Saccharomyces cerevisiae S288C: one gene and its partners. Changing the gene in region 2 together with the main gene of any one other region gives a genetic interaction. Each region holds a gene or a part of one and is shown on either strand. Other genes may lie near its edges.

The links.
Region 1: mutations in DSF2 (region 2) and CAD1 together harm fitness more than expected from each alone (negative genetic interaction), as found in Saccharomyces cerevisiae (2 studies listed by BioGRID).
Region 3: mutations in DSF2 (region 2) and CRR1 together harm fitness more than expected from each alone (negative genetic interaction), as found in Saccharomyces cerevisiae (2 studies listed by BioGRID).

What each region holds. Positions count from the first base shown.
Region 1 is NC_001136.10:1,317,456-1,321,127, forward strand, and holds CAD1 (Cad1p), read right to left. Parts: upstream 1,821-3,672; coding exon 591-1,820; downstream 1-590. Other genes in the region: SIP1 (Sip1p), read right to left, coding at 1-318; DYN2 (dynein light chain), read right to left, coding at 1,932-2,162, 2,243-2,265, 2,362-2,386; SNX41 (Snx41p), read left to right, coding at 2,609-3,672. UniProt on the Saccharomyces cerevisiae protein: Transcription activator involved in oxidative stress response and cadmium resistance. Regulates the transcription of genes overrepresented for the function of stabilizing proteins including the inducible Hsp90-family protein HSP82.
Region 2 is NC_001134.8:248,306-253,055, forward strand, and holds DSF2 (Dsf2p), read right to left. Parts: upstream 2,712-4,750; coding exon 501-2,711; downstream 1-500. Other genes in the region: UGA2 (succinate-semialdehyde dehydrogenase (NAD(P)(+))), read left to right, coding at 1-198; FLR1 (Flr1p), read right to left, coding at 4,258-4,750.
Region 3 is NC_001144.5:566,154-569,917, forward strand, and holds CRR1 (putative glycosylase), read right to left. Parts: upstream 1,770-3,764; coding exon 501-1,769; downstream 1-500. Other genes in the region: TUB4 (gamma-tubulin), read right to left, coding at 1-128; FRE1 (ferric/cupric-chelate reductase), read left to right, coding at 2,414-3,764. UniProt on the Saccharomyces cerevisiae protein: Spore specific glycosidase involved in spore wall assembly during sporulation. May be involved in copper import.

The DNA of each region.
Region 1 (3,672 bases), on a different chromosome or scaffold from region 2:
TACGTCTGCGGCAGAGGACAAAGAATAATCCTTTTTGAATAGATGGGACGGGCCCTTATCGATAGTAGTATCACTGCTCATGCGCCCATCACAATCTGTCGATGGATCGTGAGATGCAAGTAATTGCATTCTAGGGGGAATGGCACCATTATGTTCGCTAGTATGACTGGCGCGTCTCTTATGAGTACTCTTCCTATTGTTAAACAGTTGAGAGGTTATGCTTCCCTGACGATCTTTATTGAATGCATCATGAAAATGATGTCCATGCTCCTTTTTGGTTGAATGCGATGGATCCTGAGTAGAAGGACTGTTTCCCATGGCGGCTGCAACAACTATATAATATGACAGTTCAACTTTCCAAGATGTCAGTCCACACGCAAAAAAAGAAGTGCAAATGAAAGAAACACTAGGTAAGACACCTTGTTTATGTAGGTATCCACTTGTATCGGATATATCTACCATTGTTAATTGTCAATAGTATTCCATCAGAGACAATGGTAAAAAGACAAAAAAGGTATAATCATCGTACAAAGCGATCAATATTACATGCTCTCATCCAACATTATGTATACTCAAGATATGTTTATATGCTACAGGAGCTGTCTAACCAGAGCACTCTGTAAGTCGCGAGCTTTGACTACTATTTTGCAGTCATCTGTACATTTTGCCTTGATTATTAATTCGCTGCATAAATCATCTATGTCCAACGATGAATATTTTGGTAGGGAGGAGATCTCTTCGAGAATGTGGTAGCAAGACGCTTTTCCATTCGATATGGCGCTGCTAATGTGTTCAATTGCTTCAGATTGGGTTCGAATTGTTTTAGTATGAGAAGCAGCCACCGGAAGCACCGAAGCTAGAGATTTCTGATTCAACAGGTGGCTTGTTATTAAGTCGCATTTGATCTCCTTATTTGAACATGGTTTGGTCCCGATACACTTGCGGTTGCAAATATTATTACACTGGCTCCCTACAGCAAGGGGAAGCACGCTGGGGAATAAAGTATCATCTTCTGTCTCGTATGGAAGATACTTTTGGTCAATTTCACATTGACATGCTGACGTATCTATTTTTTCAGCGGTCAGGCGTTCAGAGTGCTGAGGAAAGTAGTTATGAATGTCGTAATCTAAAGCTTCTAGACCAGTCTGTCTATCATTGGAGACAAGATCGAGACTGAAATCTGGCATTTCACTACCATTAATACTTTCGTCACCGATGGTAACGGCACCTGTTCGATTTCCGGGGGGAGAATCCCACGAATTGGTTAAACTGGGAGCGTTCCATGAGCCTATGTTCCACATAACTTTCTCATTCTCTTGAGTGTGCGGCTGTACTTCTATACTTGTGTTCACAGTCATGTTTTCATCTGAATTAGGCGATGGCAATTCCTTTGCAGCCTTGCTAACTGCTGTACTTGTTCCTTTTTCGTTTTCCCTTTTCTGTTGTTCTTGCAGATCATCGAGGAAGGCTAATATTCTTTCATCATCAGAATTCTTAGCTCTATATTTTGTAATTTCCGACAGTAAACTTTTTAAAGAACATAGTAAAAAGTCCGTGGTAGTCTTATTCTGCGCATCTTTCTGTTCTAGTAACTCTACCCTCTCTTGCAAACTCTTCATTTTGGCTTCTTTCCTATCTCGGAACGCTCGTTGAGCTGCCCTATTCTGGGCAGTCCTCCTACTCTTAGCTTCAGAGTCAATCCTTTTTCTGCCTGGTCTGCCCACCTTCCTCTTAGGTGTTCCATCTTTATTTAGCAACATTTGCTTCTTCATGTCACCTGCTAAATATATTTGCTGACCTTTCCGAAGGATATTGCCCATTTATCTTAACTGGTCGTTCCATTGCTTATATGTCGTCCTTAAAAGTAACACCCCATTCGTATGAAAGTATAATAGTAATTGATTATCGATTAACTATTGAAGAAACACTATTTATGCTGTTTTGAAAACTAAAAACGCCAGTGGACCGATATAGAAATAAACAAAATGGCCCTTTTCGTGTGTCACGTAGCTCCCAAAGTTCTTTCCGACAATCACATGCCAGGTATTGCCGTATTTGACATCCAATTGCTTCTTTACCGTCCCAGCAATGTCTCTTTCCAACTGGTACTTGTCCAGAGCATCTTTACTGATGGTTAAAATATCCTCTTTCAGCTTGTCGGTCTAAGTTTTCTCCTTGTTAGTAAATATATATATTCAAATGTACACACACAAAACATGTATATCATGGCACAATTACATACTATGTCAGACGCCTTAACAATAGCTGCAATTCATGGAAGAAAACCTCACTCTTCCTCGAGTTAGTAAAGAAAAATTGTATTGAAAGTCACAAAATTGTGACTGAGATTAACTGACATACGCGTACTCTTATTTTCATCGCTCATTTTGGTTTTAATTTGCTCTTCTTTATGTCGTTTCCCAGTTTCACTTTTTACCCTGGCAGTAGTTTTGGAGGCTTTCCTTTTCTGCAGTTTCGCTAGTTTGTAATCTCCATTTAAAGGGAAAAGAGAACCAGGCAACAAGATAAAGAGATAAGGGATAGAGACATAAATAGACATCTATACACGTAGTGAGTAACAACGGATACTACTACACATACAGAAAAAATGGACTACAACATATTTGAGGCGGTACATGAACAACAAAGCAGCACATCTGACATGGATCTCTCAGAAGAAGATAATAATCCATTCGTCGGCACTCATCACCTATATGCTTCTGGAATTGGGACTACTATCGGCGAAGCTCGCCCAGAGAACGAAAATTCGCCCCCTTCTTCATCGTCTTTGCCATCTAGCCCGGCACATTCCTCTTCTGCTGGCTCTTCCAGAGCATCTACGTCATCTTCAACCTCTTCTCATGCCGTAGTGGAAGCAGATGCGGAAACTGAACCTTTTGTTTCCTTGTCGATGTCTACTACTGCTACTATTAGCAAATTTACTCCCCACGATATGAATGGGACACAGCAGATCCAAATCATTGATGCCGGCGATTTCAAAGATCCATGGGGGAAACACGCTATCGGTTACGTAATTCTATATGAAAACAACAAGATTATCAGAAGGTACTCTGAATTTCATTCTTTGAGGCAATCTCTAACTAGACTCCTTCCTACGATAATTATTCCACCCATTCCATCCAAGCATTCTCTTCTCAAATACATATGGAGTCCCATAAACGCAGCAAATGATTCCAAAATTATCTCCACCAGGAAGAAAATGCTCAATTCATTCTTGTCTAACTGTCTGAACATTCAAGAAATAAGCAACGATATTGTTTTTCAAAAATTTCTAAACCCTGAATTTAATTGGAAAGATGTTTTAAGTTCGTCGCCGATAATCATACTACCTTTGAATAACCTTTTAGCTCCACCTTTAAGCCCAACAAAACCAAGCCCCCTTCATTCTATTTTACCTATTCCATCCAACTCGTCTCTGAGAAACTATAATTCGATTTGGCAACAACACATCACAGTAAAAAGTCATAATGAAATTTCCAACCTCCCAACAGAAATTTTACAAAACGAATCTCAATTTACACATATTGAAAATTTATTCCAAAATTATAAGCGAATAATCACCCATTTATTAAAAAACATAAGATCAAATAAATCTCATTTCCACTCCTTGTCCACGTATTTTGCTGAATTAGGCGCATATTATAATGCTTT
Region 2 (4,750 bases):
GTCAACACTTTATACACTGTGTCTGAAGCTTTGGAAACTGGTATGGTTTCATGTAATACAGGTGTTTTTTCGGATTGTTCTATACCATTTGGTGGTGTTAAAGAGTCAGGATTTGGAAGAGAAGGTTCGCTATATGGTATTGAAGATTACACTGTTTTGAAGACCATCACAATTGGGAATTTGCCAAACAGCATTTAAAGCAATAGTAATCGTGGACGATACTTAGAATTGAATATGATTCTTTGTAATGATTGTATATATCTATTGCATGTATAAATACTCTACTCCTCGTATATAGAAAGTTAAGTAAATTTTTTGAAAGAAAAGAGTTCATATATTTACGGAGTTTTGAAGTTTTTCACAAGCGGAATAAGTGATACCATTCATAAAATATCATATCTATCTATCTATCTATTTTTGTGAGATATATGGTACGAAAATAAATGCCTTTCCTTTTAAGCCTTTCTGTAAGCTTTTATGTATACAACGTTTCTTTATCTTTATTTCGGACCTTGTTTCATGTACTTTTCCTTATAAATCCAATCTGAACCTAATAGATTTGCACCTTTTTTATCGGCTATCCTAAACCATGCAGCAGCTCTGGCGAGATCCCTTTTCTTTACGTTTGAAGTTTTGGACCAAATTGTCCCGCTTAAGCACATTGAGTCTACATGGCCTAATAGAGCAGCTTTTTCCAAAAATTTCAAACCTTTTCGCTCGTCGGGATGATCCATCCCAAGACCCTTTAAATATGCCATACCACATTCGTACAAGGCAGGTGCTGTTGGTTCAGGCGCTATATCAGGGATATCGTCCATTGAAGCAAAATTTAACGGATTTATATCTAAATCAAGAACCTCAGCAGCAAAGGATTTGATATCAGTGGCAGCCATTAAATATCCTAATGATAATTTCAAGTTCTTGTCCACTCCGCAGCCATGTCGCAGGGCTAGTCCATATAACAGAAACGCAGTTTTGTTTCCGCACGCGCAGGCTTTTTTCAGTCGTTGTGCAGATTCTTCAAGTTTGCCTTGATGACGCATAGTAATTGCCTGTCCGATGTGTGAAGATTCATCATTATCATAAGGTTCTGGGTGAAATTTAAGCTTCCCGCACTTGCTTGTTGCGTTCGATCCTTCTTTTTTATGACTGAAGGAATCCATGCATTGCGTCGAATTATTGGGCAACATACCATCTAAAGAAAGTGTTCTTCTTCTAACTTTCGGGTGGTAGGGCTTATTTGATTGTTCTGTTAGTGCACTTAGTTCACCTATTTTTGAATCTTTTTCCGTTGTATGGAAATCCGAGAAAGTTCTCAAATGAGTCCTATTTGGACGTGCTTTACTGTTCTTTTTTTTATCCGTGGATGACTGAGGTGTTGATGCTGTTTTAAAATGGAAAACTGGGTTTGGAGGAAAAATATACCTAGCTAAATGTGGACTGGAATTATTAATGGTACTTGAAGTAGATGGAAGTTGAATATTCTCCCCAGAGAAGTCCAATGAATTGGTGGCAGACCGGATAGGGCTTGATCCTTCAGACTCAAGGTCTTTCTTATTTTTTGCTCTTGTCCTAGGAGATTTAAAAAGTTTTTTTAGCGAATTTAGTGACGTTTTTTTTTTATGAGCTTTATATGGTGGCGTTGGAGGTAATGAAATATCATTTGTCATGGTATTTGTTTTCGTTATCGTCGAGGTAGAGGAATTAGACCGTTTAGGAGATGGTTTGATGGGTGTTGTATCACTCTTAGTTAACTTGAGTTTGGAGAATGAGGATGATTCACTTTCAAAAGAAGACTGAGTTTTCGGCTTTGATAGTTGTCCAACTTCAGAAAAGGAGGTGTTGGTGCTTGTTGAACTTCCGTTCCGATAAAGACAATTACTCTTTTGCGTGGTTGTGAACTCATTGGGGCAACTCTGCTTCTCGGATATTCTGTCAGTTTTTGTAGATGTATTAATATTATTACTAGTAGTTCTGTTATTCTTACTATTAGCATTATTGTCAACGCTAGTATTATTGTCTGATATCAGCGTAGGATAAAGATGGTGCAGTCTAGTATTTTCAATCCTATATTTCTCGAAGTTGAAAGGATTAGGGCTATTTGTGCTTCTATTGCCATTTTCAAGGTTTGGGTACTTATAATCTTTCTCATTTCTATTCATTTGGGGTTTCATGCCACTAAAAGTCTCAGAGTCATAATCTTCTTCGACGATATAAGAGTATCTCGACTTCACGGGCAAATGCCTTTCCACTTTACCGGAAGAGTATTTGCCTCTCAAAGTGGAATCCTTTTCTTTTAAATTGTCTATGATAAGAGAACGATCTCTAGCTTGTATATATGTTGGAGAGGGATTAGTTCTATACCTTAATGAAGGGAATTCCGACGCAGGCATACATAATGTTGGACCACTTGTTTGTGACAGTTGCGAATTTCTCGACGCGTTTTCTTCTTCTAATAAAGCTTCTTGCAGAATCAGTTCATCTTCCAAGCTGAGGTCTAATTTGTCAAGAAGTCTTTCCGTGGTTTGAATAGATTCGAATGAAATGCTACTTTTATTTGAATGAGCATAGCTAAATTGTGAATCCATTGATGACTCGAAGCTATTATTGGGTGGTGGGCTTTGTGAAACCTCTGAAGAGTTAGCTTTTCTTTCTTGATCGTCGCTTCCTATTCGATCAGCCCAAGAAGTGTTTTTTAAATTTTGATTCATTACTTTTCGTGTGACGTAAAAGTCCGTTTGTTTTTCTAGATTTTCTGTTTTTTCTCGAGGCTCCTACAAGTTCCACCTATATTTAGCATTGAGGAACAGAATGTGCTATCGCAAAGAGCAATGGCAACAGAAAAAAAGAGTTGCTAAAGAAGAACTATTTTTGAATGTCCGTGGTAATACAATGGAAGACTACTAGAACACGATGGCAGATAAGGTGATTTGATAATCAAATTCAACGACGGTTGCACCGTTGTTCTTTCTGCCGCTCTTCGTCCGGAGCCTTCTGTGATAATTGTTTTAACGCGCAGAAACACACGCAGGCTGCGTAAAGGAATGGTGGGGCTCGAAGAAGTGACAGTGGGTGTCCACGGAATGTTCTGAGCGCAGGGATCCGGTGTTGCCATCGCACACGATATGAGACGCGTTCATTTTTTCCAGCAGTCACCTAAAAGTTCAAGAAACGCTATGTTGTAATGCAGCTGTATTGTACACTGGCTGGTATTGCCGTTCTGATCTATGACTTACTTGTTAGAGGTAATAGCTGTCTTAGATCGGCTTGCTTCTTCTGACTTCCTTCTTTTTTTTTTTTTTTTCGAAGTGAGGCATGCTGCAGTTTTGTGCAGCTTCTCTTGCATCACTTCCTGTATTATTTACGTTGTTTACATTATCAGGTATTTTGTATTATTTTTTGCGCAACAGCAAGCAAACGCAATAGCGATAAATGCCATAATATAATCAAAATTTAGCAAGGATACATAGCAGCAAACCCGAACCTTTAGGCCTCTCATAGATGAAGAAAATTTGTACAATTCTTTTGGTTCTTTGGCTCTTCAAATATGAATTTATTAAGAGGAAATCCTGAAGCATCAGAACATCGCAAACTTTTTATTCGCAAGAGGATTTATCCTCTGATTAGTTATATATGAATATGTGTTCCTTCTGCATGATTTTGATATCAATAGTATGCATTTTTTTTCGATTCGTCGTAGAAACATAGCTACTCTCATGACCAAATGACTCTTTTTGGCTTTGACAGTGGAACAGCCAAGTTTTTATGTAGAAATATATTATCTGTTAACTGGAAATGATGTCTTAGGCCCATAAAATGTGCTAGAACGTATGGCTAATCCTTTTGCTCTGTATTCAATTGAGTATTTTGCTTAATTTCTATTTGATAATTGAACTTCTTACGTGTATAAATGGTTGCATATTTCTTTAGTAAGTACTATTTTCAAATATGAGTGAAGGATATTGTGGCTCAAGTAATTCCTCTTTCTTTTTTCATCCGTATGGTAAGCAAAGGGTCACAAAGTAACCGATAGTGTGTAGACCTTAGATCTTCCTTCAAAGATTTCAAGTCTGCGATAAATAAACATGAGAATACTTGCAACAACAACTTTTATAAACAATGAAGTTCATTATGAACAGTATTTATTTCACTGCTAAACTTTACGTAAACTTATGTGGAACATCTTTGTCGACAGATGGACGATAAGTAAAATTGTGTTATTATAATTCAAATTTTCATGGTAAGAACATCGGCTTTCTACTCCTCTGTGTACGAAGATCTTGTACGTAATGATGGCCCATACTTATAAAGTATAAACGGGATAATAGCTAGACCTAAAGTTAGGAACCCCACTAAGGACGAACCCCATGCCACAGGATAGTTCTTAGTAGCTAAATTGTCATACATTGCTCTACCAAACAACGGAAAAGCACAGGCAAACGAAGCCCGACAAAAACCATTGCCTGCAAAAACGGATGCAACATACTTTGGGTAGCATGTAGCCAAATATGCAAAAGTTGCTTGGAAAATGTTAAAGACAGCTAAAACAAAAAAAACTTCCGAGATAACTGGCAAAATCCAATGCACTCGAGCAGTCCAACCAAATAAGAACAAAGACAGAGGCAGGCACCAGCAGACACACATTGCCACGATTAAAAAAGCTTCCGGGGTGAATGTGCCGTTTCTAAAACGTGGTACAATAATCCTCATGTTTAAAATACCGAATAAGCCATAAGCAAGTACGCACCCT
Region 3 (3,764 bases), on a different chromosome or scaffold from region 2:
CTGGAATCAGGAAGCTGAGATAGCCCATCGGTGCCTATAGCGTGTTCTTTCGCCAATTGAGACCAGAGAAACTTACCAACGTGGTTCCCGCATTGACCTGCTTGCAAAGTAATAATTTCTCCACCCATAGATAGTTATATGTTGAATTCTTATACATGTGACTAACCGATATTACGCATTTGTTCATTTCGCAGCTACTGTTACGATTATTATTTATTACATTTAATGAAATTTCCCAAAAGATAATATTAACGCGTTCTGTTACCCGGTGATATTTTCTGAATGTCAGGGTAACAAAGAGAGAACGTTATAATGGGAGAATAGTAAATATTTGCTTTAGGAAATTAGTAATAATTGCAATGCGGAAAATAGGTGCATTTTGTGTTTCTTGAAAGGTTTGAACTAAAGAATGTATACATATATATTAGAGCGTGCCTTCATGCAGGGAATTAGAGGATCCGTTACGGAAGAGAGAACTTCGTAAGACATTATTGCTGTGACTATTTTGACCGTTTCCAAGAACTCAACCAGTCATTTATCTTTGGAGTAACAAAGCAGTCCCATTTGAGAGACCCCTCATCATGATGATTCAGTCTGTCTTGCCTGTTATACGAAACGACTACTCTTGACAAATCTTTTTGGGAAAAGGTTGGTGCCTTTTTCTTTGCCTTTATACAAAACTGCACTTGTTCTGTGAATTTATTTTGGTACGGCGTTACGGTGATTTGTTCAACATGCGCCGTAAATTGGCCCTTTTCGATAATATCGGGTGAATTTTCCCAATCTATGAGGCCACCTGCCCAGTTTATTGTACCGGGTCCGTTGGTTTCCGAGCCGCCTGGCCAAACAGCGATTTCTAGTCTCATCGGCGTTTGTGGGTACCTATATTCTTTACTAATGGGGTCCCAGGTATCCTTCTTCAGGACTGTGCGAGCTATTTTACCATCAACATACCATATTATCCTATCCGGGTCCCAATCAATCTCATAAGTGTGGTAAGTGGCCCAAGTGTCAGCGCCTACGGGAAATCTTTGCATTCTTGTGTAATCCAAATGCCCTTGAGAATAGTAGTTTGATTGGGCCGTCATTAAATCACCACCCAGCCACTCAAAATCAATCTCGTCCCCAATTGCGGATGTTAAGTCAAATGCAGTCACCACACCCCTCGACCTCGCCGTTTTCATTCGCACGCTTGCCTTGCCGTATAGAAACGACCTGGTCGATGTGATCAAACTTCCGGTAGTTTTTTTTGGCATAGCCAGAACAATATTCCCGCTACTCGCTTCAATTGATGTGTAGCCGCTATGTGTGAAATCGAAATCTTCCAACATTTTCTCTGCCTCTTTACTGTCTGGAGTGACCAAGAATTTGGCGTAGTGTATGATTCTCTTGGAATTTAGCTCCCCTTCTACTACACCCACCTTGGTATTTGCCTTATTCGGTCCATTTCCCTCTCTTATTGGTGGCTTAGGTTGATAGTTCACAATAAATTTAGGAACCTTTGGTGTGCTAACAAATTCAAGTTTTTGACTGGCGACTAATGCAGGTATAGGAGCACAGCTTTCCTCGTCGAAAGATGACCTCACGTTGCAGCCACCGACACATATCGGTCCAGCGCCACATTCATTATACGGCGAGCAGCACGGCCATTCTGCGGGACAAGGGTTATTTGGAGAACAAGAAATGGAGTTTTTGGGTTTGTATAATTCTCCCAGTGCAAATCCGATGTAGCCAACAACCGGCACCAGCTGTAATATTGATATTCTCATATTTTTATTTCGTGCAAAAGCCCTTGATGATACTCTAAACTAAACGACTGTTCTTGTATTTCGTTATTAATCGATAATTATTAGCTGGTATTGTCTTTTTTTTTTTTTTCCTACATGATCGTCGCGAGGCTTTACATAATTTTTGTGACGCCTTTAAAAGTATAGTAGAACGAGCACATAAGAAGTAAATGAAAAGTACGGCAGATGCAATTGACAGTAAAGAGCGGTACAATAGTTGAAGAATACCCGATAAAAATGTATTTAGGTTGCTTGACGGGTTTGCAGCAATTGCCAAGAACACTAACTGTGGCAATCTTGGTGAGAATCTACTCCCAACCCAAACATTTTCGCCGATATTTTTGCTCACCTTTTTTTTTTGCTCATCGAAAATTGTTATAGCGGCTCGACTTTGATTTACTAATACACCCAATTTCTAATATCCTCAAGGCTAGATCGTTCTCTCAAGGAACTTAAAGTGCCTGATCTTGCGATGATTAATCTACAGCGATGGATACTTAAATCATGTAAAAATCTCAGTTTTGAAGTCGTTTGCTCTCTTCCATGCTTCAGTTCCCTTTTGGAAGGTAATATAATCATCTAATTTCTCGCATATTCACGCCGACGGAAGAACGAGCCGGATCAATATGGTTAGAACCCGTGTATTATTCTGCTTATTTATATCTTTTTTTGCTACGGTTCAATCGAGTGCTACACTTATTAGCACTTCATGTATTTCCCAAGCTGCGCTATACCAATTTGGATGTTCTAGTAAATCTAAAAGTTGCTACTGTAAAAACATCAATTGGCTGGGTTCAGTGACAGCATGTGCCTATGAGAATTCCAAATCTAACAAAACACTAGACAGCGCCTTAATGAAGTTAGCATCCCAATGTTCAAGCATCAAAGTTTATACTTTAGAGGACATGAAGAATATTTATTTAAATGCGTCAAATTATTTGAGAGCACCTGAGAAAAGTGATAAAAAAACCGTGGTTAGTCAACCGCTCATGGCGAACGAGACAGCGTATCATTATTATTATGAGGAAAATTATGGTATCCATCTTAACCTAATGCGCTCTCAATGGTGCGCTTGGGGTCTCGTCTTCTTCTGGGTGGCTGTGCTTACTGCAGCCACTATCTTGAACATTCTGAAAAGGGTGTTTGGTAAGAACATCATGGCAAACTCCGTCAAAAAATCACTTATTTATCCTTCTGTTTACAAAGATTATAATGAACGAACTTTTTATTTATGGAAGCGTCTACCATTTAATTTTACAACTCGAGGCAAGGGTCTCGTCGTATTAATTTTTGTTATTTTGACTATATTATCTCTCAGTTTTGGTCATAATATTAAACTTCCACACCCATATGATAGGCCCAGATGGAGAAGAAGTATGGCCTTTGTGAGTCGTAGAGCAGACTTGATGGCCATTGCACTTTTCCCAGTAGTCTATCTATTCGGAATAAGAAATAATCCCTTCATCCCTATAACAGGGCTTTCCTTTTCTACATTTAATTTCTATCATAAATGGTCTGCCTACGTTTGTTTCATGTTGGCCGTTGTACACTCAATTGTCATGACCGCCTCGGGAGTGAAAAGAGGTGTGTTTCAAAGTCTGGTTAGGAAATTTTACTTTAGGTGGGGTATAGTGGCAACGATATTAATGTCTATTATTATTTTCCAAAGTGAAAAAGTATTTAGAAATAGAGGGTATGAGATATTCCTTCTTATTCATAAAGCGATGAATATTATGTTCATTATTGCCATGTACTACCATTGTCACACCCTGGGCTGGATGGGTTGGATTTGGTCAATGGCTGGTATTTTATGCTTTGATAGATTCTGCAGGATTGTTAGAATAATCATGAATGGTGGCTTGAAAACTGCTACTTTGAGTACCACTGATGATTCTAATGTTATTAAAATTTCAGTAAAAAAACCAAAGTTTTTCAAGTACCAAGTAGGAGCTTTCGCATACATGTATTTCTTATCAC